Diceros bicornis minor: one gene and its partners. The protein of the gene in region 1 interacts with the protein of each later gene in a biochemical or structural test. Links are inferred from orthologs where the notes say so. Each region holds a gene or a part of one and is shown in the gene's direction. Other genes may lie near its edges.

Evidence for each region.
Region 2: the proteins of THBS1 (region 1) and plasminogen-like form a complex in vitro, tested with the Homo sapiens proteins (2 studies listed by BioGRID). The link is inferred for Diceros bicornis minor from reciprocal best matches to the Homo sapiens genes THBS1 and PLG.
Region 3: the proteins of THBS1 (region 1) and COL1A1 form a complex in vitro, tested with the Homo sapiens proteins (2 studies listed by BioGRID). The link is inferred for Diceros bicornis minor from reciprocal best matches to the Homo sapiens genes THBS1 and COL1A1.

The regions. Positions count from the first base shown.
Region 1 is NC_080744.1:37,518,598-37,525,920, forward strand, and holds the start of THBS1 (thrombospondin-1), read left to right. Parts: upstream 1-4,295; 5' UTR 4,296-4,455; intron 4,456-5,032; 5' UTR 5,033-5,061; coding exon 5,062-5,128; intron 5,129-5,404; coding exon 5,405-5,964; intron 5,965-6,874; coding exon 6,875-6,950; intron 6,951-7,284; coding exon 7,285-7,323. UniProt on the Homo sapiens protein: Adhesive glycoprotein that mediates cell-to-cell and cell-to-matrix interactions.
Region 2 is NC_080778.1:9,496,547-9,503,993, forward strand, and holds the start of plasminogen-like, read left to right. Parts: upstream 1-4,376; 5' UTR 4,377-4,467; coding exon 4,468-4,516; intron 4,517-7,447. UniProt on the Homo sapiens protein: Plasmin dissolves the fibrin of blood clots and acts as a proteolytic factor in a variety of other processes including embryonic development, tissue remodeling, tumor invasion, and inflammation. In ovulation, weakens the walls of the Graafian follicle.
Region 3 is NC_080757.1:36,084,714-36,092,332, forward strand, and holds the start of COL1A1 (collagen alpha-1(I) chain), read left to right. Parts: upstream 1-4,608; 5' UTR 4,609-4,716; coding exon 4,717-4,807; intron 4,808-6,310; coding exon 6,311-6,505; intron 6,506-6,599; coding exon 6,600-6,634; intron 6,635-6,732; coding exon 6,733-6,768; intron 6,769-6,856; coding exon 6,857-6,958; intron 6,959-7,619. UniProt on the Homo sapiens protein: Type I collagen is a member of group I collagen (fibrillar forming collagen).

The DNA.
Region 1 (7,323 bases):
TCACTCAGGATCAGCTCATCCTGGATATTCTTTCCTTTGTGAACTCACTGGACTATATCTCAAAGTTCCCAAGAGATGGATATAAAGACACAGTAAAGTAGGAAGCAATGCTCACTCTTACCCATCAGCAGTAAATAGTGTTTGGGACTGGAGTGGCCAGTGGGCAAAGGAACAGGGAGGAGAGAGAACAGGGCAACTTATCTGGAAAGCACTTTAATCATGTAAGTGAAGAGTCTTTAAAACATTTTTATCCCATGACCTAGTATTATGTTTCTTATCCTAAATAAATCAGAAGAGGCTCAAGCAAAGTCTGAGTGAAAGGCAATCCAGACAGAGAAAAAAGAGCTGCATTGGTTATGATGTTTGTGGCTCTAAGTAACAGAAAACAATAAATTGGCTTAAATAATAAGCACATGTCCGAAGAAATCCAGAGGTACAATGGCCTTTAGGGTTGGTGGATTTAGCTGCTCAAAAATGTGGTTAACATACCATGGAAGATGGTTCTTTCCACTCTCTGCTCTTCCTTCTCCAACACTGCTCTCATGCTAAGTTTGGTTCCCCTAGTGGCCAACAGCACCAGACAGCGCTTAGCAGCATTCTTGTTCATGTCCAGATGAAGACGGAGAAAGTCTGATTTCACATGACTCTTTCTTAAAAGCAAGAAAGAACTTTTCCCAGCAGCTTTCAGCAAACCTCTCACTGGCCAGAATTGGGTCACATGGTAATTCACAAATCAATTACTAGCAGGGAAGGGAGGGTGGGAGGTGGAGAAGGTAGCTACCCTTAAACCAATAGTCCTACCCCTTCCCACTAAGATCAATTCCCTGAGAATATTGGTTCAATTCTGTGGGGAAGGGTGCAATGTTTGGGAGGCAATCACCTCGTCTACCCCAAGAGCTAAGGCATAACTGCATGAGATGGCAGCGCTGGTAGGGATATGGTGAGTAGTCTAGTCCCTCTATGCTAAAAACTGACTTAAGCATAAAGCGATTTGGAAATTCAAATATTAGAGCTCTTCCCAGGCCCAAGCCTTTGGGTACGTACAATCTAGTCCTTACACATGAGAAAATAAAACTGATTTTGAAAAACTAACTAGTAAAAAGTGTAAGATGATGAATTATGTGGTGGAGATAATGCGTGCTTCAAAATTTCACAGAAAGAAGAAACAAGGCAACATAAAGCCACTGGAGAACATCTCATGGAGGAGGGGGAGCTTGAGTTGGTATCTGACTGAAGGATAAGAAAAATCTGTCAGGAACTCCCTTTGGCTCTGACCGTCGAGGTAGCTAAACTAAAACAACTTTGAACCACCATCTAGGGAAAATATTCAGAGGGAATGAAATTATGATGTCGTCCTTTTAGAGATACTACAATTTGGGACTATTCTAGAATACGATGAATTTCGGTTTCTGCTCACTTCTAAGAAATTTTCCACGGCTAAACATTTCCAACATTTTTTAAAATTGCTACAGAAAATCACAGCCCACCTTGCTGTTTTTTGCTGGATAAACAAATTTTTTTTCTCCATTATCTTGCTCTTCTTAATCACATTCCATTTTTAAACTGGCTGTTGCTGACAGTCCTTTCCTCCTATTTATTGGCAAAGTTTTTAGCTCAATCCCACATCCAATTAAGGGAACTTGGAAAAAGGAAATCCTACAGCGAAATGCCATATGCCTTAAAATTTTATTTTAAATACATAATCTCGAAGGTGTCAACGTGGCAAAGAGAGAACTGGACCCGCTCCCTGGAAGGCCCATCACTTGGGTCCATGTCAGATGACCGGCCTGAAATCTCAGCTCTTGTATGTTGAGGACACACACATACAAGAAAGACTCTATCCCCTGCATGAAAGGTGTAGGTTTTCTTTCCCCTTTTCCCATCCCTGCTTTTCTCAAAGCTTCCCAGAGGTATTTAGGTTTCTGGGGAATATTTTAAGCATATATTGATGCTCGGCAGGAATATGGATGATTCCTAACAGCTGCCCGGACACGTCCTCACTGTGATCCTTCCTTTCTACCAGAACAACGGGATTACCGGGGTTTGGGGAAGGCCTTTGTGTTTGAAGTCAATAACTTCTGTACCTCTGTCAGCTTTCTGACAGGAAAGCTCTTCCCTGCCACCATATAGGTCACCTTCCTATTTGTAAAGCATGTAGAAAGTTAAAATTCCCCTTTTTTTCGTTGAAAGAAGCCAATTTCCAAGGAAACTCTAAAGGGATTCCTACAGTCCCTTGGTCAGGAAGCGGCAAGCCTGGAGGGGCATTCCAGTGGGATTCTACTCTATCCATATGGCTAAGCCTAGGCAAGAGGATCTTTCTATAAAAGGAGAGACGTATCCTGCTTTTGTGGGTCTCTTGTGGACCTCGAGCCCTCAGCGGGTCTGTATAAAATCAACAAGTGGGCCAGAGGAGCAGGGCCATCAGGTGACCACCATTCTGAAAACTGTACCTAAGTAACTGGCATTACTAGTAGCAAGTGAAAAAAAAAAATCACCGTTCAAGGGAGCAAACAGGATGCTAGAGAAGGAGAAGGAAGGGGAGGGACATGCGTGGCTGCTGATTCTGGAATCTTCAGATCTGTTTGGATGAATCATTCCTATGAGTTCCACGACAGGAATCTGATTTGACTACTCATCCGATAGAGACATTTATTTCTGTCTCTCAACATGTGAAATCTATCTGTCAGGTTTAGCTATTACTTAAGCAACAAACACACATGTGTCTTAGGAACATACTTGTCATCTTCTAGAGGTATTTGACGTATATGAAGCAACTAGAAAACACTCACCCGGAATCCACACACACACACATGCACTTTGTCACACGACACTCCCACACAAGAAAAGTGAAATTGCTGTGTAATGAATGTAAAACGGTGGGTGTTTCCCGCAGGTAGGAGCCCTGCCAGGTGGGAGAGCTAAGAAGGCAGGTGAACCCCAGGGCTTTCCCCCGGCCTGTGGCTGACATCCTTATTTGGTGAAGCCACTACCTGCGCCCTGTGTCTCAGGGCCAGCCTGATCGTGCCGGACCACAGCAGGGGAAGTGTGGCTGCTGACGTCTCAGCCCAAAGAGATGAATGGAATTCCAGGCAGCTGGAGTCATGCTGGCTTGGGACAGTGGCTTGGAGACCAGATTTCCAATGACAGAAGCATTAAGCGGCAGCGCTCGTGGCAACTGGTGCACCCACAGAAATGTAACCCACACCTCGGTTTCAGGAGCCGAAAAATGAAAAGAACGTTTAGGGAGGGAAAAAAAAGGAAATAAAATGATAGGCAGAGGGTAATTTATTACTCTATGGGTCTGTTCTGTAAATAGTTTAAGACCCTGGAGCCAGATGGTTCTGCAAATTCTCCAACCAGGAGTCACGTTAAGAAGCACGAGTGGGCACAAAAACTGTTTTTCAAGACACAATGTCAATTTTGGCTTGAGGGAACTGGATACGAGTAAGTTTTCTTAACATTCCTGACTAGAAAGAAGCTGTCCTCTCTCGTCCCCTTGATCAGAATACGCATACCGCCCCCAAGCGGCAAGCCGTGGAAGCGCGGTAGCCATTGGGAGCAGCGGTCTTCGTGGAGACCTGGGAGACAGGCAGCCGCAGAAAAGTGCCCCGACGGGCTGCGGGGACGCGAGCTCTGTCCCCCGCCCTGCAGGCCGGCACGACACCGCACTCGCCTCCCTCAGTGGGTCAGGCGGAGGGCAGGCGTGGGGCGAGGGCGGGTGCGCGGCGCGAAGCCGGGCGCGTGGTCCCCCACCCGGAGGGACGGATGGATGAGGGTCAACGAGTATGAAGAGGGACCTTCTTTAACGACTGGTTCTCTCTTGGTCCCATTTACCCCGGCGGGCTCATTTGTTTTTCACCAAAGGACTTGGTCTCCAAGTATCCACCCCTCAGCCATCCTCTAGGCATTCAAGGAGACGGGTTTGCCTGAAAGGCCCTCTCAGGGTCTTGGGTGGCTGGCCAAAGCTCCGCTGCTGCTTGGGATGCTCACACCGACCGCCTCGGGACCGCGTGGCGCAAGAGCCAAAGTACTGAGCCCGCGTGCGCCACGGCTGCGTGGGCGGGCACCTATTTTTCTGAGAAGTTCCAGGGCTCCTGGGCCCCGACCCCGACCGCCCCCCCTTCACTTTCTAGCTGGAAAGTTGTGCGCCAGGCAGCGGGGGGCGGAGAGAGGAACCCAGACTGGCCCCCCTCCCGCTTCCTGCCCGGCCGCCTCCCATTGGCCAGAGGAATCTCCAGGAATGTGAGCGGCCCTTTAAAAGCGCGCGGCTCCTCCGCCTCGCCAGCCACAGCACCCGAGCCGGCCGGCGAGTGTGGTCTCCCGTGAGCTCACCCCGCAGCCTCCGACTCCGGTCGCTGCTGCCCGGGCGCACCGCCCTCCCTGCGCTCTCCCGGACTCGGCGCCCGCCGCTGCGCCCTCGCCGCCACTCCCGGCCGCTGACTTGTGTGCACACAGGTAAGGGGTCTCTGGGCGCTTGCCGAGGACCAATGCTGCCCTGGCCACCTACCTCGGGCTCCGAGGCTTCAGCCCGCCAGGGGCCCCGGATCTCACACTTTTTACCTTCCCCATCCTGTCCCTCCCAGACACTGGAGCACTCTTTTCGAGGAAGGGCTCCAGAGCCATCCTCTCCAGCCTTGGAGTTAACAAACCAACTCTCAGGACACCCCAAGATTTTCTTCTATTCTCCAAGTCCTCCCTAAACCTTCCTATCAGTCCTCCAGAAGAGTCGCTACTTCCCCGTGCCCTCCCTGCGCCCCCACCCACATCTCCTGGTCCTCGACTTCCCGAGGAAAAGCCCTTAGGCTGCTGGTCTTTGCGGTCCCCCCACTTTAAAACCGCAATCTCCTCCCCTCAACTCTCCCATTTTCTTTCGGATGCTCTCTCCAAAGTAAATACTATTGTCCCCTTATCCCAGCAAATGTGGGACCAAAGAGGGATCCCCAGAGCCCTGGTCCCAAGCCCACTCCCCAGTTTTTGCCCACCCTCCTTGCTTGGCTGCCTCTGACCCTGGGCTCTGTGCTTCCTGCTGCAGGATCCCTGCTGGGCACAAACAGCTCCACCATGGGGCTGCCCTGGGCACTCAGTGTCCTGTTCCTGTTACATGTGTGTGGCTCCAACCACATTCCAGGTGAGTCTGTATAATACCTTTTGGGGGAGAAGGAAGAGGAGGAGTTGCTGGTTACCCCAGCTGTGTCTCCCTCCCATGCTCTCCTCTCCCAGCTGTTTCTCCCCGAGCCCTGATTCAACATCAGGATGCAGGTTCCCTGCAACTGTGGTGTTTATTCATCTCTTTCAGTGATTGCCATTTTCACCCTGTCCCTCTGACCCCACCCCTCAGAGCTGAGCCCCTCCCCTCTGGCCCCAGCCTAGAAGGCTCACTGCCTGTCTTGCTCCTGTGCAACAGAGTCTGGAGGAGACAACAGCGTGTTCGACATCTTTGAACTCACGGGCGCTGCCCGCAAGGGCTCTGGGCGCCGACTGGTGAAGGGTCCTGATCCTTCCAGCCCAGCTTTCCGCATCGAGGATGCCAACCTGATCCCCCCTGTGCCTGATGACAAGTTCCAAGACCTAGTGGATGCTGTGCGGGCCGAGAAAGGTTTCCTCCTGCTGGCCTCCCTGAGGCAGATGAAGAAGACTCGGGGCACACTGCTGGCCGTGGAGCGGAAAGACCACTCTGGCCAGATCTTCAGCGTGGTCTCCAATGGCAAGGCGGGCACCCTTGACCTTAGCCTGACCGTGCAGGGCAAGCAGCATGTGGTGTCCGTGGAAGAAGCGCTCCTGGCGACTGGCCAGTGGAAGAGTATCACCCTGTTTGTGCAGGAGGACAGGGCCCAGCTGTACATCGACTGTGAGAAGATGGAGAATGCTGAGCTGGACGTCCCCATCCAAAGCATCTTCACCAGGGACCTAGCCAGCATCGCCAGACTCCGCATCGCAAAAGGAGGTGTCAATGACAATTTCCAGGTGAGGTCCCCTCCTCCGATTCCTAGTCCATGGGGTCACTGCTAGCCAGCTGATCTGTCAGGAGGGCTATAGCAGGAGAGGCAGGGGTTCCAGTACAGGAAATACTGCTTGTGGACTAAAGCGGTGTTTCTCAAACTTTAGAGAGCACCAGAATCACCTCGAGGGCTTCTTAAACCGCATACTGCTGCACATACACACACACCAAGTTTCCGATTCAGTAGGTCTGGAGTGGGGCCTGATAATTTGCATTTCTAACAAGTTCCAGGTGAGGCTGGTGCTGGTTTTCTGGGGACCACACTTTGAAAACCACCAAAGGAAACAAGAAATAGTTTTCCTATAACAGCCTGTTCCAGCTTTAGATACTCTCTATCCTCTTCTTAGGAAAATAACTTATTTCAAATGCATTCCACCAACTGTAATATTGCTTGACATGGATGGATACTTTGCATGAGCTGAATAAATACCACTTTGCTATTTGATTCCTCACGGGGATGTGGTGGGTTTCAAAAGGTTAAAATAGTGAATACTCACTGCTGCAGCTTTTTCCCTCCTTACACTTCTAGCTCTTTGCAACTGTGGCTTTGAAACTCCCACATTTAACTCTTTGTCATCAAATCCTCCGGCCTTAGTGTCAGATTCCATTTCCTCTGTTCTCAGTAGGCTGATAACTGAGTTCTTTGTGAAATACTGAAGACTTGGCAGAAGACACAGTTAAGATTTTAAAGTTGTTTGGCAATTTATCTTGGTGTATTATTTTGACTTGGTGATCTTAAAGGGAGCTCTTTCAAACTTGTGGAACATCTGTTGTGTGCTTTTCCTAACATAAACAGTCTCCCCCACCCATTCACACCACCCCCCCCCCCACACACACACACACACTCTACAAGTAATGTGTGTCCTCTGCCCACAGGGGGTGCTGCAGAACGTGAGGTTTGTCTTCGGAACCACACCAGAGGACATCCTCAGGAACAAAGGCTGCTCCAGCTGTGAGTGTTCTGCTATTTTTAGGGACTATAGGGAAATCAGGGGGAATTGCACCCAAAACAAGCTGAGAAATTTAAGCAACGGAGGTTGTGTATAAATTACCCCAAGGAACATAGTTAAGAGGTGTACAAAAGTGACCTCAAAGGGCATTACCCTCTCTCTCTCTCCCTCCCTCCCCCTCTCCCCTCTCCCCTCTCCCTCCCTACTTGCCCCTCCCTCCCCACTTGCATCTCTTGCCCCAAATGAAATCTTTTGGGAACTCGAGGGGCAGGCTGGGGAGAGCATCTCTTTGAAGATATTCCATCACTTTTCTCATTGTGTTTCTTTATTTGGCAGCTGCCAATGTCCTTCTCACCCTCGACAACAATGTGGTGA
Region 2 (7,447 bases), on another chromosome or scaffold:
AGGCGGCGTCCATCAGGCCTTACTGACTGTCCGGCCTGGGGGAGGGGTGGAGGCGGAGGGGGGGGGCCTGAGTCAAAGCCTGAGTTCCACTCCCCGATTTAGAAGTTCTATAACTTTAGATTCTCCCTGGACAAGTTTCTGTACTTTGAAAGTTCTGTAAATATATTTAAATATATGCATAAACATATACGTTAAATATATACGTATATATCCAAATATAGACACACATATCCAAATATACACATACACACACATATATACATGTATATACAAATATATACGTATATAGACATATGTATTTTTACTTTTTATTTTGAAATAATTATAAACACACAAGAAGTTACAAAAATAGTACCGAGAAGTCCAGTGTACCCATCACCCAGCCACCCAGCCTCCCCCAAAGGGAACATCTGACATAACTGTAGTTCATTATCAATACCAGGAAGTTGCCATTGGTGCAGTAATGAGCTAGCCCACAGACGTTGCTCAGATTTCACCAGTTTTTACCTGTACTCATTATTTTTTTCTTAAAAGATTTTAGTGTTTTCTACATGTCTCTCCGAAATACTGTGAAAAAATTTTTTGTCTTAATTAACTTTGAGAGTAATGAATTTTCGAGATGGAAAGGATGATTTGGTTTCTCTGTTTTTCCGCAGTGAATCTGGACCTCGGAGCAGAAAGTACGCTTGCCTGGGTCTCTGGGGAGTCCTCGTGCTGCCTCAGGGCAGGCTGGTAAACTATCCAGGAATTACTACCTTCTCTGTTACTGTTTTTCTCGAGCATCTTACGAGTCTGACGAGGAAATATCCAATGAAGGCTCTTTTTTTTTTTCCAAAACTGAATAAACATCTCAATTTCCGCAAGCACAAGCCAGTGAAGAAAATACAGCTCGCTGACCACTGACTTAGGTCTCACCTGGAAAGTGCTCTGGGCGGGTTACATTTTAACCCCTGTGCTAACTGAGCAGCCTGCTATCTCCTCACGGGAGCTCGGGCCGATAACGGTCTCATTCCACAGCCCCAGAGACTGAGGAACAAAGGCTAACAGACCTGAGAAAAAGGTCAAATGAAGACATGAAAGGCACCTTCAGATTAATGAGAGCGTGTGTCCTGGGTGATACGCCCTGATAAACTAACAGAGTGAAAGCAATCTGTAAACTGACATCAAGGGCAAAGATAAACGTGCTAAGAACCCTTGCAACAATGAAGGCATACTTCGTTTGAACTCTTAATAGATTATTTTTTCCGCTGTTTTCCTTTTGAAATGACATGGTCTTATTGGGGATATTCAGAGATGCTCCTGGTAAAGAAATGAGCTGTCTTAGAATGACCGTTCCAGGGTGGCAGAGCCTGGGTGGGGAGGAGCTCTGCTGGGGCTGGAGGAAGGTGGAACGTCGGTGCAGAAAGGTGACAGATGTAAATGTCAGATCTGCAAGACAGGGTCCACGCGGTATGAAAGCATGTCACCTGGGAAATTGTGACCTGGCCACAGCTTCCACTTCAGGCAAGGTGGGTGCAGGCGAGACTGAAGGGGGCACTCTACCTCTCTCGCCTGGTGAGGTTGAACTTTCCTGGTGTTTGTGGCTTTCCTGGTAAAGTGCTTGCGAGGAATTCACCATTTTAATGCCTAGAGGGGAGGAACTAGCTAATTCTTCCCTTCCTAAAGGAACCTGAGTGGATCTTGGTTGCAGGCGCCCTGCTGGGCAGAGCTAAGAAATTCGATCCCTCTTCCATCATATTTTGACGTCCTTGTCTCTGGCTACAATGCAGCAGAAGCCTCCAGTAATCTTAGATAAAAAATTTCCTGGAGTTCTTTTAGGTGGAGGCTGGGGGATGGAGGAGACTGTAATTTGTAACTTTTTAATTTTTATTTATTTTACCTTTTATATAGTCCTAAATGAATCTAACACACAGTAGGTGGTCAGTAAATACTTAATGAATTGGACTCAATAAAGATGCACATCTCAGAATTTATTCAACCTGCTAATAGTAGGCAAAGATGATCTCTCTTTATCTCCTTCCTGAGTTTCTGCCGTTCTTTGAAGTAGAAAAAGACTTATTTTGAATGAATTGTCTTTACAGCCTTGAGCAAAACCACTATCCGATGTCCCTCTAAGAGTGTTGTTGTGGGATTCCTATGCGTGATCTAGAATAGTCCATTGCTTTATGCCTACCCTGTACCTATGAAGCTAAACCATGTAGTGCTGTGACGCAATGGAAGTCTCTGTGCACCCCCCTGTCTGCATGTGAACAATACATTCCTCTTTGCTCTTCTCTTTACACACTACAGTATCTGGTGGCACAAGAGCAAAACCCTGCTTCGTGTTTATCTGTGCTCTCATGATGCTGATATATTATGAACGTGGTGAAGAATGTATAGTCAGAAGGCCAGAGGAGGGCAACCTGATTTAGAAAATAACATTGGTAGAATCAAAAGCATTCTAGAAGATTCCAGGAGAAAAGGGAGCAAAAGGCATACCACCACCACCCAAATAAGAAAAAAAATAAAACAGGAAAAAGAAAATTATGTGGTAATAGAATTTCTGATAATATTGTTCCTGAAATGCCTTATCTGCGAGGCAGTGCTAAACTATTTTAAATGGAAATAAATGCAGACTGGAAACATTATATATTAGTAGAGTCTGTTTTTTCCCCAAAGTACTTTCTCAAATACACCAACATAATCCCCCTAAGAGACATTTCAGATATTTTAAGAAAAAATGTCTGCCCAATGCTGATTTCTCAACTTGCCTGCACCTTGTGTCCCCTTTAATACACTCGGCCACTAGGTGAGAGGGAGAGGAGACAGGAAGACAGAGTTTGAGAGAAGAAAGCTAAGATCAAGTAGAAAATTAGGAAATATAATTAGGTCATCCCTGCCCCTCACAGTAGCACCAACTTCTTGTTCTCCAGCACGTTTTGTTCTTGAGAATTCTACACAGTACAGAACATTGCACCACATAAGGACGTTTCGGTCAACGATGGACTGCATATATGATGGTGGTCCCATAAGATTAGTACCATAGAGCCTAGGTGTGTAACAGGCTGTATCATCTAGGTTGGTGTAAGTACTCTCTGTGATGTTCACACAATGACAAAATCGCCTAGGGATGCATTTCTCTGAACATATCCCCATCATTAAGTGACACATGACTGTCCTTCCATCCCAGGGAATTCTGCAGGAGGTACCACCGAAAACGATATGGTGCCCTCCTTTATACTTTGCTAGTTTATAGGAAGGAGTTCCATAGCTGGAGAGAGAAGAATTTCTCGTTCTTATTTCACATTTAGATAGAGTCAATTTAGCTATTCCTAAATATTTTTGAACACTGAAATAGCGGTTTTAAAGCATTTACTACCTGGTCATACTAGCCTTAAGCCAGGGAAATGTACAGACTCAACAATTAAGATCAAGACAGACTCTTTAAACTTAATTTTACCACTCTTGCTTTATTTCACGAGGATGACAATCTAATGCACTGTGAATTCATTTGGGGAAAAGATCGATAATTTTGTAATGTAATTTATAATCACAGAAAACACGTGAGTCCACCAGGCATAAAGAAATTTTGATAATAATAAAATATTTTCACTTATGTTGTAATTTCTACACTAGTAGGATGTGGGGATGTTAACAACAATGCCTTAGCTTATATGTGTTATTTCACCCCTTGTTAGCTAAGTAACCTTGGAAAGATAAACTTGCTTAGCTTGAGTCGCCTCATCTAAAATGGGGACGATAATAATATTGCTTGTTTTAAAGGTTGGATGTAACTATGCCTATGCACCACTTAGCAGAGTGTCTGGCAAAGGAAAGTTCTCAGCAAATGAGAGCTATTGTGATTTTTTTTTTTACCCAAAAGAAAGAGAATGAGAGGCCAGCCCCATGGCATAGTGGTTAAGTTCAGCGGGTTCTGCTTTGGCAGCCCAGGTTCACTGGTTCAGATCCTGGGCACAGACATATGCCACTCATCAGCCACGATGTGGCAGCGAACCACATACAAAGTAGAGAAAATTGGCACAGATGTTAGCTCAGGGCTAATCTTCCTCAAGCAAAAAAAACGAGGAAGATTGGCAACAGATGTTAGCTCAAGGCTAATCATCCTAAGCAAAAAAAAAAAAAAAAAGAGAATGAAAGAAGAGAGAAGAAAACAAGACTAAGAATGATGATGGACTGGGAGTAAGGTGAGGACTAAAGAGAGAAGAAGGCAGCACGGGGCCGCCGAGGGGGCAGGGCCCGCTTTCACCACTTCCCAGCATCTATTGCAAATTCTGCTCTCAAACATTTTGTAAGATCCTCCAGTCAAGGTAATGTTTGAACCCTCAGTGCTCAGTGGCAATAGGCTTCTAAGAGAATAATTAACTATATGTGATTATCTTGTTTGTGGATGCATTTCCTTTCATGTAAGTCAATAACATCTTGGGACTGGGACACGCTGTTTTCTGGACACCGCTGGCCAGTTCCAAAATGGACCATAAGGAAGTGGTTCTTCTACTGCTTTTATTTCTGAAATCAGGTAAGACTTCAAGTTGTTTTTTTTTTTTAATCAGTATTTTTTTCCTAGCAACGTATAAAAATAGAGACATGATGGCTTTATGGGCAACTAGTTTAATTTAACTTTTGATTCATGAGATTCCCAGTTTGAAATCTAAATATAAGATTGAGGAATTCAAGAAATAAATTTAGTTTCCCTGTGAACACTGGAGATGAATGGGCCGAGAAAATAATGAATGGCTTTTTAAATCAAAAAGATGAAGCCCAAGGGTTGGTTATTTTAGTTGAAAAAATAGCTCATATAGTTAACAATCCGAAAAGTGGTTAGTCTCTTTACCTGGTTCTCAGTTGGATTAATTTAGATCATTTTTGTTAAGGTGTCATATGCTCCTCACGTTCAGATGCAAACAATGAAATCTCTCCTTGACTACATTCTCTGACTGGTCTGGAGTTGTATTCACCAGTTCCCTGTGGGCTCTGGCTTAAGTAAGACCTTCCATACATATAGGTTTGCTTTGTATGCCTGGAGAAACCACAGGCATCGATTGGCCAAGTGATGTATGCAAAAATAATTCAACAAATATTCACTTCGTGCTTTAGGTAGGCCAGGCAAATTTTTAAAAGTACATACACACATGTGTGTGTCTTTTAATAACCCAAGTTCATTTAGCCAGTGCAACAGGTAGGGTAGAACATCCCTATTTTATAGACAAGGAAATCCATACTTACGAAAATCGTGTTGTTTTCCTATTGACCAAACTCCCAAATCCAGGAAGTGAAGAAACCAGGATTTAAACCAGGGTTTTCCAAGAAGGAATCTGGTGCTCTTCTCTTTTTTTGAACTTTGTTTAAACCTTCTTTAAAATATTCTAAGCATGTCCTTATAGTTCTTTTTTTTGACCGCTTTATTGACATATAATTTATATACAATGCAGTTCACCCATTTACAGCACACAATTCAGTGGTTTTCAGTATATTCAGTTATGCAACCATCACCACAATACATTTTAGAACATTTTCATTACCCTAAAAAGAAACTCCACACCCCTTAGCTGTCACCTCCAGCTCCCACTCACTCCCCCATCCCTGCCCAGCCCCTGGCAATCACTAATCTACATTCCATCTCTGATTTGCCTATTTTGAACATTTCATATAAATGGAATCATGCATTATGCTAGTAGTTCTTCATATAAACAATGTATAGATACTTGCAATTCAATTTATAAATTGCCAGATAAAATTTTACAGTTGTACTTTAAATTGGAGTCAAATACATTTGAATTTAGTGGAGCCATTCAAAGAAATATCAAAGAAAACACAGAGCAGAAGATTGTACCAAGAGATTTCTGTGGGAATGGTTGTGTATGGGGGTGCAAGGATGCATAATTCTGTTTTAGCCTGTGGAGAACAGGACCCGGAACACTATGAGCTGATTCAGTGGGTCACACCTGAGAGTTAGAACAGATTTCTCTGCAACAAGATTAACATATGTCTTCACCAACCTATGGGGGAAAAAAGTCTTTCATAAGCTTTTTGAAGGGAAGGCATTTACTCTTTCTTTCCATGGAAATAGTTCTTGTTTCCAGTGCACTGAAATGACCAGGGAAAGGAAAAACATCCTTTTAGAGCTGTTCTCAGTGGGAAATGGATAAGCAGTTTGCATTTCACCAACAATTGAGTCTTTTCTTTCAAACACACAGGCTTGCATACATATACACACACCACAGTGTTAAAAAAAAAAAAAAAACTCATTATTAATAAAATACACTTGCTTTGGTATATATATCTCTACATTTGGCCTAGAATATAAAAATACTTTTCTTACTAAAAAGATTTGTTTAATATTTCTTGGTCAACAAATAAACTGTATTATACCCCGTTGCCATATCAGCCCTGGAGTTGAATAAAAGAAATTTGGGGGGAAATTTTTTCAAAAGAAAAAGAAAAAATTATTCTCTCTTGGGATATTTCTTTGGGCTATCTGCTCCAAAGGTGGGTCTCAGCAGCTATATGCTATGAAACATAACAACATAACATCATTAAAGGTAACTTAATTAAAGGGTGATATAAATGGAAATTTTCTTATTTTCATACCATTGATACCCCAGCTTGCTCCACTTTCTAAGAACTCTTCAAAAAGTTTAATTTAACTCTTTATGGGATATACTTTATAGAGTTTTTGTGTTTGTTTTTTAAATCATATCCTGATCCATAGAATTTCCCAAAGCCCAACTCTTCTTGGAAATGAGAGCTCAAATTGGGAGAAAATGCGGAATGAAGACATGGTTATGGGTCTGACATATTGATTTCTCCGTAATCTTTGGATACATTTATCAAGTGCTTTGGGTGTATTCAATCTCAATCGCATCAGCCAACTTCTGTTCAATATCCACTCTTCCACTTTGGAGTATCTTAAATTGAGGAAGAATGAGGGAGTCAAGTTAGGGAGAGGGTGGACTCAGGAAGATGGCTTTGTCCTAATCTGCTAGAGGACCTCTAGCAGCATATATGTTTTCAGGTGGTCAAGGATGGCCTTTCTGAGAAGGAGGATCTGACCCTTCATGATCCTTCCCACTGGATAATTTTCATCAGTATCCAAACATGCTCTAGAATGTCTCATCTGTGAAAAAAAAATTGTGTGACCACATATGCCTTCCTGAAAATGCTCCTTTCACAACCAGACTTTTAAAAAGACTTATCTCTTCATGCTGTTCCCACTGCCTCTCCTAGTCACTCTTCAACCTGCTCAGTCTGGCTTTGGTCTCCACCACTCCCCTCAAAGTTCATTAGGCCATGTTGCCTAATCCTATTTAGACCAACTTTAGGAAACTTTACTGTCTTCATTTTGTTAACCTCTTTTGGCCTCCCATCCTGGGAAAATCACTAGTGTTCCCTACCCAAAGGATGGAGGTCAACATCCCCAGCCTTCAAATAGAGCTGCCAAAGCTAACTC
Region 3 (7,619 bases), on another chromosome or scaffold:
AGAAAGAGGTAAATGACAAATCAATTAGTTCACTCACCCAAACTTTGATAAACCTGCTCTGCCTCCAGACATACTGAGGGGCTAGAAACACCATGAGGAACCTGCCAGGTCCCTGCCTGGGAGCTCACGGCCAGCAGGAAAGATGGGCGCTGACTCTACACTTGTGACCAGCACAGAGCGGAAGTAAGGATAGGTCCCCAAGCCCAACAATGTCCCCATCCAGCACATTATTCTCAGTTGGGACCTGGCTGGGACCTGTGGGTTGGCTGGAGCGGGCCTGGGGAGCAGCGTTAAGTGGAACAGTCCTAGTGTCACCTGAGGACCCCGCCCAGCCCTTCTCCCAGCTCATCCCAGCTCCTCCCCTGGTTCCTCTGCCCCAAGTTCCCCTCTTGGACTGGGGGGCCCCAGAGAATGGGGCAGGGTCTGCCGGGACTAGAAATCAAGACTTCTCTTCAGGAGCCTGGACTGAGGGCTTGCTCTAGAAGAGAATGAAGTGGACATCTCGGCCTGGATGTGGACATCTGAGGGCAGAAAGAGCCAAAAAGGCAAATGAGACCCAGAAAGAGAGCTCCAGAGAGGGAAGGATGGAGAAAGAAGCAGCAGAGGGAGGCAGGGGACAGACAGGAGTGGGGGTGGGGGAAACGTAGAGAAAGAAGGAAAAAGAGAAGGAGGCAGGGAGGATGAGGTTCTACTCGCTCTCCTCTCCATCACACCCAACCCCTCCTCCGAGCTGTCTGCACTCTGACCCCGTTTCCTGGCCTTCCGCTCACTCCTCACCCACTCCAGACAGGCCTCCTCACCCTCACTCCACTGAAACAGCTCACACTTAGGGCTCCAATCACTGCCATGTCGCTGAATCCAGAGAACAGTTTACTCCTTATCACACTAATTCTCTTTGCAGCATATAACTCTCCCTCCTTCTAGAGCAATCTTCCCTCTGCATACATGACATCCACCATCCCTCTCCTCTTTACTCTCCTACTTCTCCCGCTCTTGTCCTTTCTCCTGCGCAGGCTCCTCCTCCCTTTCCCTACCCCTAAACCCTGAGGGTCCTCAAGGCTCAGTCCTAGCCCTTCATCTCTCCCTGCTCCGTACTTTCTCAGGATACAACTCCATGCACACCATCACCCTAGGGGTCCCATTTTTGTCTCTTCTCTAAACTCCAGACCCAGACACCTTAGAGTTTCCTCTACATTTGTCACTGGATGTCTCATGGGCACCTAACACTCAACATGGACAAACTGAATTCATCATCTCCCCTCTAAACCTGGAAAGGATGATGAGTTGGAGGGACATCTCAGAAGGCTAAAGAAGGATTGGGTTGAGGCTGAGGCATAGAAAGAGCAGAGCTCTGCCTGGAAACTAAGGAACTTAGCTAAGGACCAAAGGGCCCAGATGGTGCACTGCTGAAGAAAGGGAAGACGAGAGGACCCCACACACCTGGAGTCTGTCCCCGGACTCTGCCCTCAGAATTCCTCAATAGGACCTGTGCAGGGCTCCATGATGGGGACATGTGGAGACCAAGGTCTTCACTGCAGCCTCATTCTTCCACTCCCTCCCCTTCTCTCTCCTCAACCCCTCTCTAGAGACCCTCTCTCCATCACCAGTCTGGGGCCAGGGTGAGGCAGAAGACCATTCTGGAAGGTCAGATCAGGGACGGAGGGCAACGGAACCTCAGCAGAGGACCAGAGCAGCTGGAAAGGGCTGACCCACCTGCCCACCAGGTGCACCAACACCAGGGCTGCCTCTTCTCCCTTGTCCCACATCACGGAGTCCAGACTGGGGGCGTGAGGGGCTCCAGAGGGAGAGGGGAGCTGGGGAGCACAGCCCGCCCCCTCCCTCGTGGAGGAAGGGCACTCTCGGAAATCTGGAGAGGGCGAGAACTTAGAGCTCAGCACTTTCCTCTTTCTGTTTTTCTTCTTGAGGAATTTTTTTCCCTAAGTGCTGATGACTTTACCATTTCTTGGGGGTGGGGGGAGGAGATTTTGGCTTTTGCTCCCCCCACTCCAAATGCCGGACGAAGTCTTGCATTCCACAAGAAGCCAGAGCTTCAGAGTTTCCTAAAGATGAGGTGGCGTCTCCTCCCCTCTCCAGCCCCAGCTCCCTCCCCCCAAGTCTCAAGCCCTCAGTCCTGGCCAAAGAGGCCCAGGCAGGCTGGGAGGAGACCCCAAGCACATTCTTCCTCTCACTGTCATGCTGCAGAAATTAAAGACACATCTTTGGGCTGGGCGCCCGCCAAGCGTTTCAAGTCAAAAAGTAGCAGAGGCGGCCCTGGGCCTCAGCTCTATGCCACGTGTAAAGGATGCTTGGAAACCCTCTGCTCGCAGCTCCGGGGATGGAGGTCCAAAACTGGACATAGGGGCAGTGGCTGTCACATGCCACACACACAAAGCCCACCCACCCCCATCCCAGGGGTCCCTGAACATCCTTCAGAAGCCCATGATGTAGCCGCTTCCAATCCGCACCTCTGAGGCTTAATCTCTTCTTGACGGTGAGAGTAGGACAGTCTGGACAGGGTGCATGTGGGGAGGGGGCTGCAGGGAGGAGTCCTTCTGGCTGTGCAAACTCAGCCAGAAGGGAGGTGGGCAGGTCACACCAACCTTTGCCCCAAGCCTGTGACACCCCACCCCAGACACCCACTCCACATGGTTGACTACTATGGGGGACAGGACCCTTTTCCTCTATTAGGGAGATGGTGCCCCTTGTCTCCCATCCACACTGGAGGGTGCAAGAACTGCCATCTCAGCATCTCAGCCTCCAGTCCTGCCCTGCAGTCGCTGGCACTAGGCGGGGGCAGATCCTGGGCCACAAGTTGCTGCCACATGGTGGGGATAATTGATGAAGGCCTGTCCCTCCATTGCTGTCTCCCGCTTGCCTCTCTGGAAACTCTATATTTTCCCTTTAATTATAGCCCCTGCAGTCTCCCTCCGCTGCCCCGCCCGCACGCTCATCCTGGCTGCCCACGGCCAACGTGGCTCCCTCCCCTTCTGTTCCCTTGGTCTTTTTTTTTCCTTTGCCTTCGTTGCACAAAACCAGCCGGGGGAGGGCGTGGAGAGGGGCGGGGGGAGGCAATGGAATCTTGGATGGTTTGGGGGAGGCGGGACTCCCCGCTTCCACGTTTGCAGCTCTGGAGTGATGGGGGTGGGGAAGCTGTGCGGGAGGGATTCGAGTTGACGGGGATTGCAAAGGGACCCCCATTGCCTTCTCTTGGGCCCACAGATTTTGACAGGACCAGGGGTCTGAGTGGATTGAGGTTGAGGTAGAGCACTGTTGGGAGATTGGGACACGAGGGAGGGAGGACACTGGCTTCTAGAGGCATCTCTCCCAAATACAGACTTCTTGGGGTGCCCACCCCCTTTCAGGGTACATATGATTCTCTCCTGGTTCCGGGGGCAGAGAGAAATGCCCTGGGTTTTCAGGAAAGAGGTGGGGCAGTGGGAAACATTCTCTAAAACAAGGTCACTCACCCTCCCATGCAAGTCCATCCCAAACCCCCAAAGGCAAATCTCCCCCAGACACCCAAATTCTCCCGTATACCCCCAACCCTGAGTCCAGGTACAACCAGAGAGGGGGCCTTATGCAGCACCCAGAGGGAGAACCCTCTCTCTGGTCAAGTGCCCTCCACCGGAGCTTGACTATTCTGGGTAGAAGAGTCTCTAAAAAGGCCCTGGCCACCAAGCACACCCTAACACGAGACCCCTTTCTAAGTCATCAGTGATCATAGCCCTCCGTGCAAAGTCACTTCCCCTGGGGTGGAAGAGTCCCAGCAATGCCCCACCAACACCAAAGCTTCCTTCTGGAGAGACCATGTAGCCAAATTCTCACCCGGTACTTCAGCCTCCCCATCTCGTCTCTCTCAGTCATACCTGAAGCTTGAGGGAGAGGACCTGAGTCCGTCTTGGAGCCTCAGGCATGGCAGAAGAATCGACATCCTCAAAATAAAACCCCTCTTGCCAGCACCCCCTCCACAAGTATCTGATTCTTAAGGTCTATAAAGGAATCTCTAACTTGGTCCCCAAATATTCCTAAGCTCCATAACCCAGCCACGCCAGAAGACACCCCAACAGGTACATCTTTTTAATTCCCTGGTCTCCTGTTTTGGAGGGGTTCTCGGCCGGCCTCTTCATATCCATCCCTTAGCTCTTGCCAAGGATGTCAGGAGCGTGCATGAGGCATGGCCAGGAGGACCCTCTCCCAATCACCCCAATCCTTCCACCTTTGGAAGGCTCCCACCCACTCCCCAATTCCAGTTTCTCCAGATTGGGGGTCCCAGGAAGAAAGCTGAAGAGGCGCCCCTACCCACTCTTTAGGCCACACTATGTTGAGGACCTAGATGCACCCCAGCGGCAGCATCTCTGGCCCAGGCTGGACTGGGGGGCTGGGGAGGCAGAGCTGCGAAGGGGGGAGATGTGTGGTGGACTCCCTTCCCTTCCCTTCCCTCCTCCTCCCCTTCTCGGTTCCAACTCCCAAATTGGGGGCCGGGCCAGGCAGCTCTGATTGGCTGGGGGACGGGCAGCCGGCTCCCCCTCTCCCAGGGGCAGGGTTCCTCCCCGCTCTCCATCAAGATGGTATAAAAGGGGCCCGGGCCGGTCATCGGAGCAGACGGGAGTTTCTCCTCGGGGTCGGAGCAGGAGGCACGCGGAGTGTGAGGCCACGCATGAGCGGACGCTAACCCCCACCCCAGCCGCAAAGAGTCTACATGTCTAGGGTCTAGACATGTTCAGCTTTGTGGACCTCCGGCTCCTGCTCCTCTTAGCGGCCACCGCCCTCCTGACGCACGGCCAAGAGGAGGGCCAAGAAGAAGACAGTAAGTCCCAAACTTTTGAGAGTCCAGGGCTACTTGGTGTCTTGCCCTGCGTTCGGTCCCGGGGGTCTGCGACCTAAACTGAGACTGGGGATGCTCCGGAGATTCAGGGATGGAAGGGAGATGGTTAGGGCTCTTCCTCGCGCCCTGGGAGAGAAGGGCGAGCACCCTGGGTGGGGAGTGTAGAGGAACGTCCCCCAGAAGTGGGAGAGGAGGATGGAGCTCGGCCTGAGTTGGCACAGGAGGGAGTCTCGAGCGCGCACTGCGGCGTACAACAGGGAAAATGGGGATCTGGGCGCGGGTGGGGGGCAAGTACGTCGAAGATGGGATGGGGTCGCCGAGCTGGGAATTTGGAGCCCAAGATGTAAAAGCGGTCGGGAAGGCTGTGGGATGATTCACAGGGAAAGATTGTTTGCCCTCTCTGCGGGCTAGACAGTGTTCCTGGGGCCGCGGGGGTGCTAGGCTGAGGGGGGAGGGGGCGCGGAGTGTGGGCGGGTTGGAGGTTGAGAAACTTTGGCGCGACTTGGCAGGGCGGGTCCTTGCGCCCCCTGCTGATCAACACTGAGCACCGTGCCTCCCTGTCCAGGGCTTCCCGCCGTAGGAGCTGGAGAGAGAAAACGGAGGTTATTGCCGGGTGTGGACCCCACCTCTAGACCTAGAAAATAAAGCTGGAGACCGGGTAGCCCCTGTCTCTAACGGAAGCGGCCAGGCCCGGGAAATTGCTTAGTGTTGCCCGCCACCTAGTGGCCATCTGGAGAGAGGCTCGCGCGGTGGGCGTGGTTAACTAACTTCATTGCTATTTGCGGACTTTTGGTTCTTTGGCTAAAGAGGGACCCAGAGGCACTGGTTGGCTTTGGAAAACGGGGGTCGTTCCTGAGAGAGGACTTTTGAGATGTCTGGGAGCTGGAGATTAGGGCGTATCCTACTTTTGGGGTACATTTCAAGTCTCTGGGCGGGACGCCACGCCAATCAGCCCCTCCCCATCCTCCTAGCTCCGCCCACGCCATCCCACCTGCTCAGGGAATGGGGCCGAATGGGGGCTGGACCTGCCATCTCTCCTCCCACCCTCTCCTCCTGTCTCCACCCAAACCACGCCCCACAGTCCTGCCCTCTTGAAAGGGCCCCCCCTTCTCCTCCCCACTCCGCCACCCCCCACTCCCCCACCCAGTGGCTTTTTATTTCACTTGGCTTCAGCGCCAATGGGCTGAGGTTGGAGTTGGAAGCAACCCCGGCCTAAAGCTTTGTTTAAATTCCTGAGAACTGGAAAGAGTTATAGCCGCGCTGGCCAGGGGCCTCGACACTGTCACGGGCCCTGATGAGGAGCAGACGAACTTTTAAGGATTTAGGGAAAAAGAAAAAAAAAAAAAAAAGGAGGAGGCGAGAAATGGAAAATCTAAATGTGTCTCTAAGACAGAGAGGAAGGGCAGATAGGGTTGGGGTCCCTGGAGCCCCAAGGTGGGAGGCTCGGGCGTCGCTGACAGCCCCGCTCTTCCCCTCTTGCCCCAGTCCCAGCAGTCACCTGCATACAGAACGGCCTCAGGTACCACGACGGAGCCGTATGGAAACCCGAGCCCTGCCGGGTCTGTGTCTGCGACAATGGCAACGTATTGTGCGATGAGGTGATCTGCGAAGACACCAAGAACTGTCCCGGAGCCTCTGTCCCCCCGGACGAGTGCTGCCCCGTCTGCCCTGAAGGCCAGGGTACGCTCGCTAGGGGCCTGGGGCGGGCGGAGGGCGGGGCCGTCGGGGCACCGGAGCCCACCCTGCCTCTAACCCGCGTCTCTTCTCCCCCCAGTGTCACCTACGGACGAACAAACCACAGGAGTAGAGGTAATCCTCTACCCTCGACTTTTGCCACCCTGCCCGTGACTCCTCACGGTCCTCCCTTCTCTAACCCAGCTTCTGTTTCTTTTCCCCCAACCCCATAGGGACCCAAAGGAGACACTGGCCCCCGAGGCCCAAGGGTAAGCTTCGCCCTCTCTGGGCTGTTGGGGGCTGGAGGTTGGTGTGGCTCCTGACCTGAGCTCACCCAGGCGCCCTCTCCCCCTTCAGGGACCCGCAGGCCCCCCTGGCCGAGATGGCATCCCCGGACAGCCTGGACTTCCCGGACCCCCCGGGCCTCCCGGACCTCCCGGACCCCCTGGCCTCGGAGGAGTAAGTGCAGAGCGAGATGCTTGTGGAAAGCCTGGTGTGCTCCCCTCCCCTCTCTGTGTTGTTGTTGTTGTTGTTGTTGTTTTTGGCGGCTGGCATTCTTTATATTTTGAAATAATTTCAAACTTACAGAAAAGTTGCAAGAGCAATGCAAAGAACTCTCATATACCCTTCACAGTTTGTCACATTTGCTTTATCAGTCTCTGTCTATGCATACATATAATTATCATAATTTTTTTTCTGAACCGTTTGAGAGTAAGTTGTTGCTATTATGTCCCTTTGCTCCTAAAAACTTCAGTATTTCCTGAGAACAAGAACATTCTCTTACATGATCATAGCACACGATTACATTTAGGAAATTTAACATTGGAACAATACTATTGTCTAATATACAATCCATATTCAAATTTTACCAATGTCCCAAAGATGTCCTCTATAGCATTTTTTTTCCTGATCCAGGATCCAATCTGGGGTCATGAATTGCATTTAATTGTCATGTCTCTTTAGTCTCCTTTAATCTGGAACATTCCTCAGACTTTCTTTGTCTGTCACAACCCTGAGATTTTTTGAAGAGGCCAGTTGTTTTGTAGACTGTCACTCAGTTTGGGTTTGTCAGATGTGTCATAATTAGATTTGGGCGGTGCGTCTTTGGCAGGAATATTTC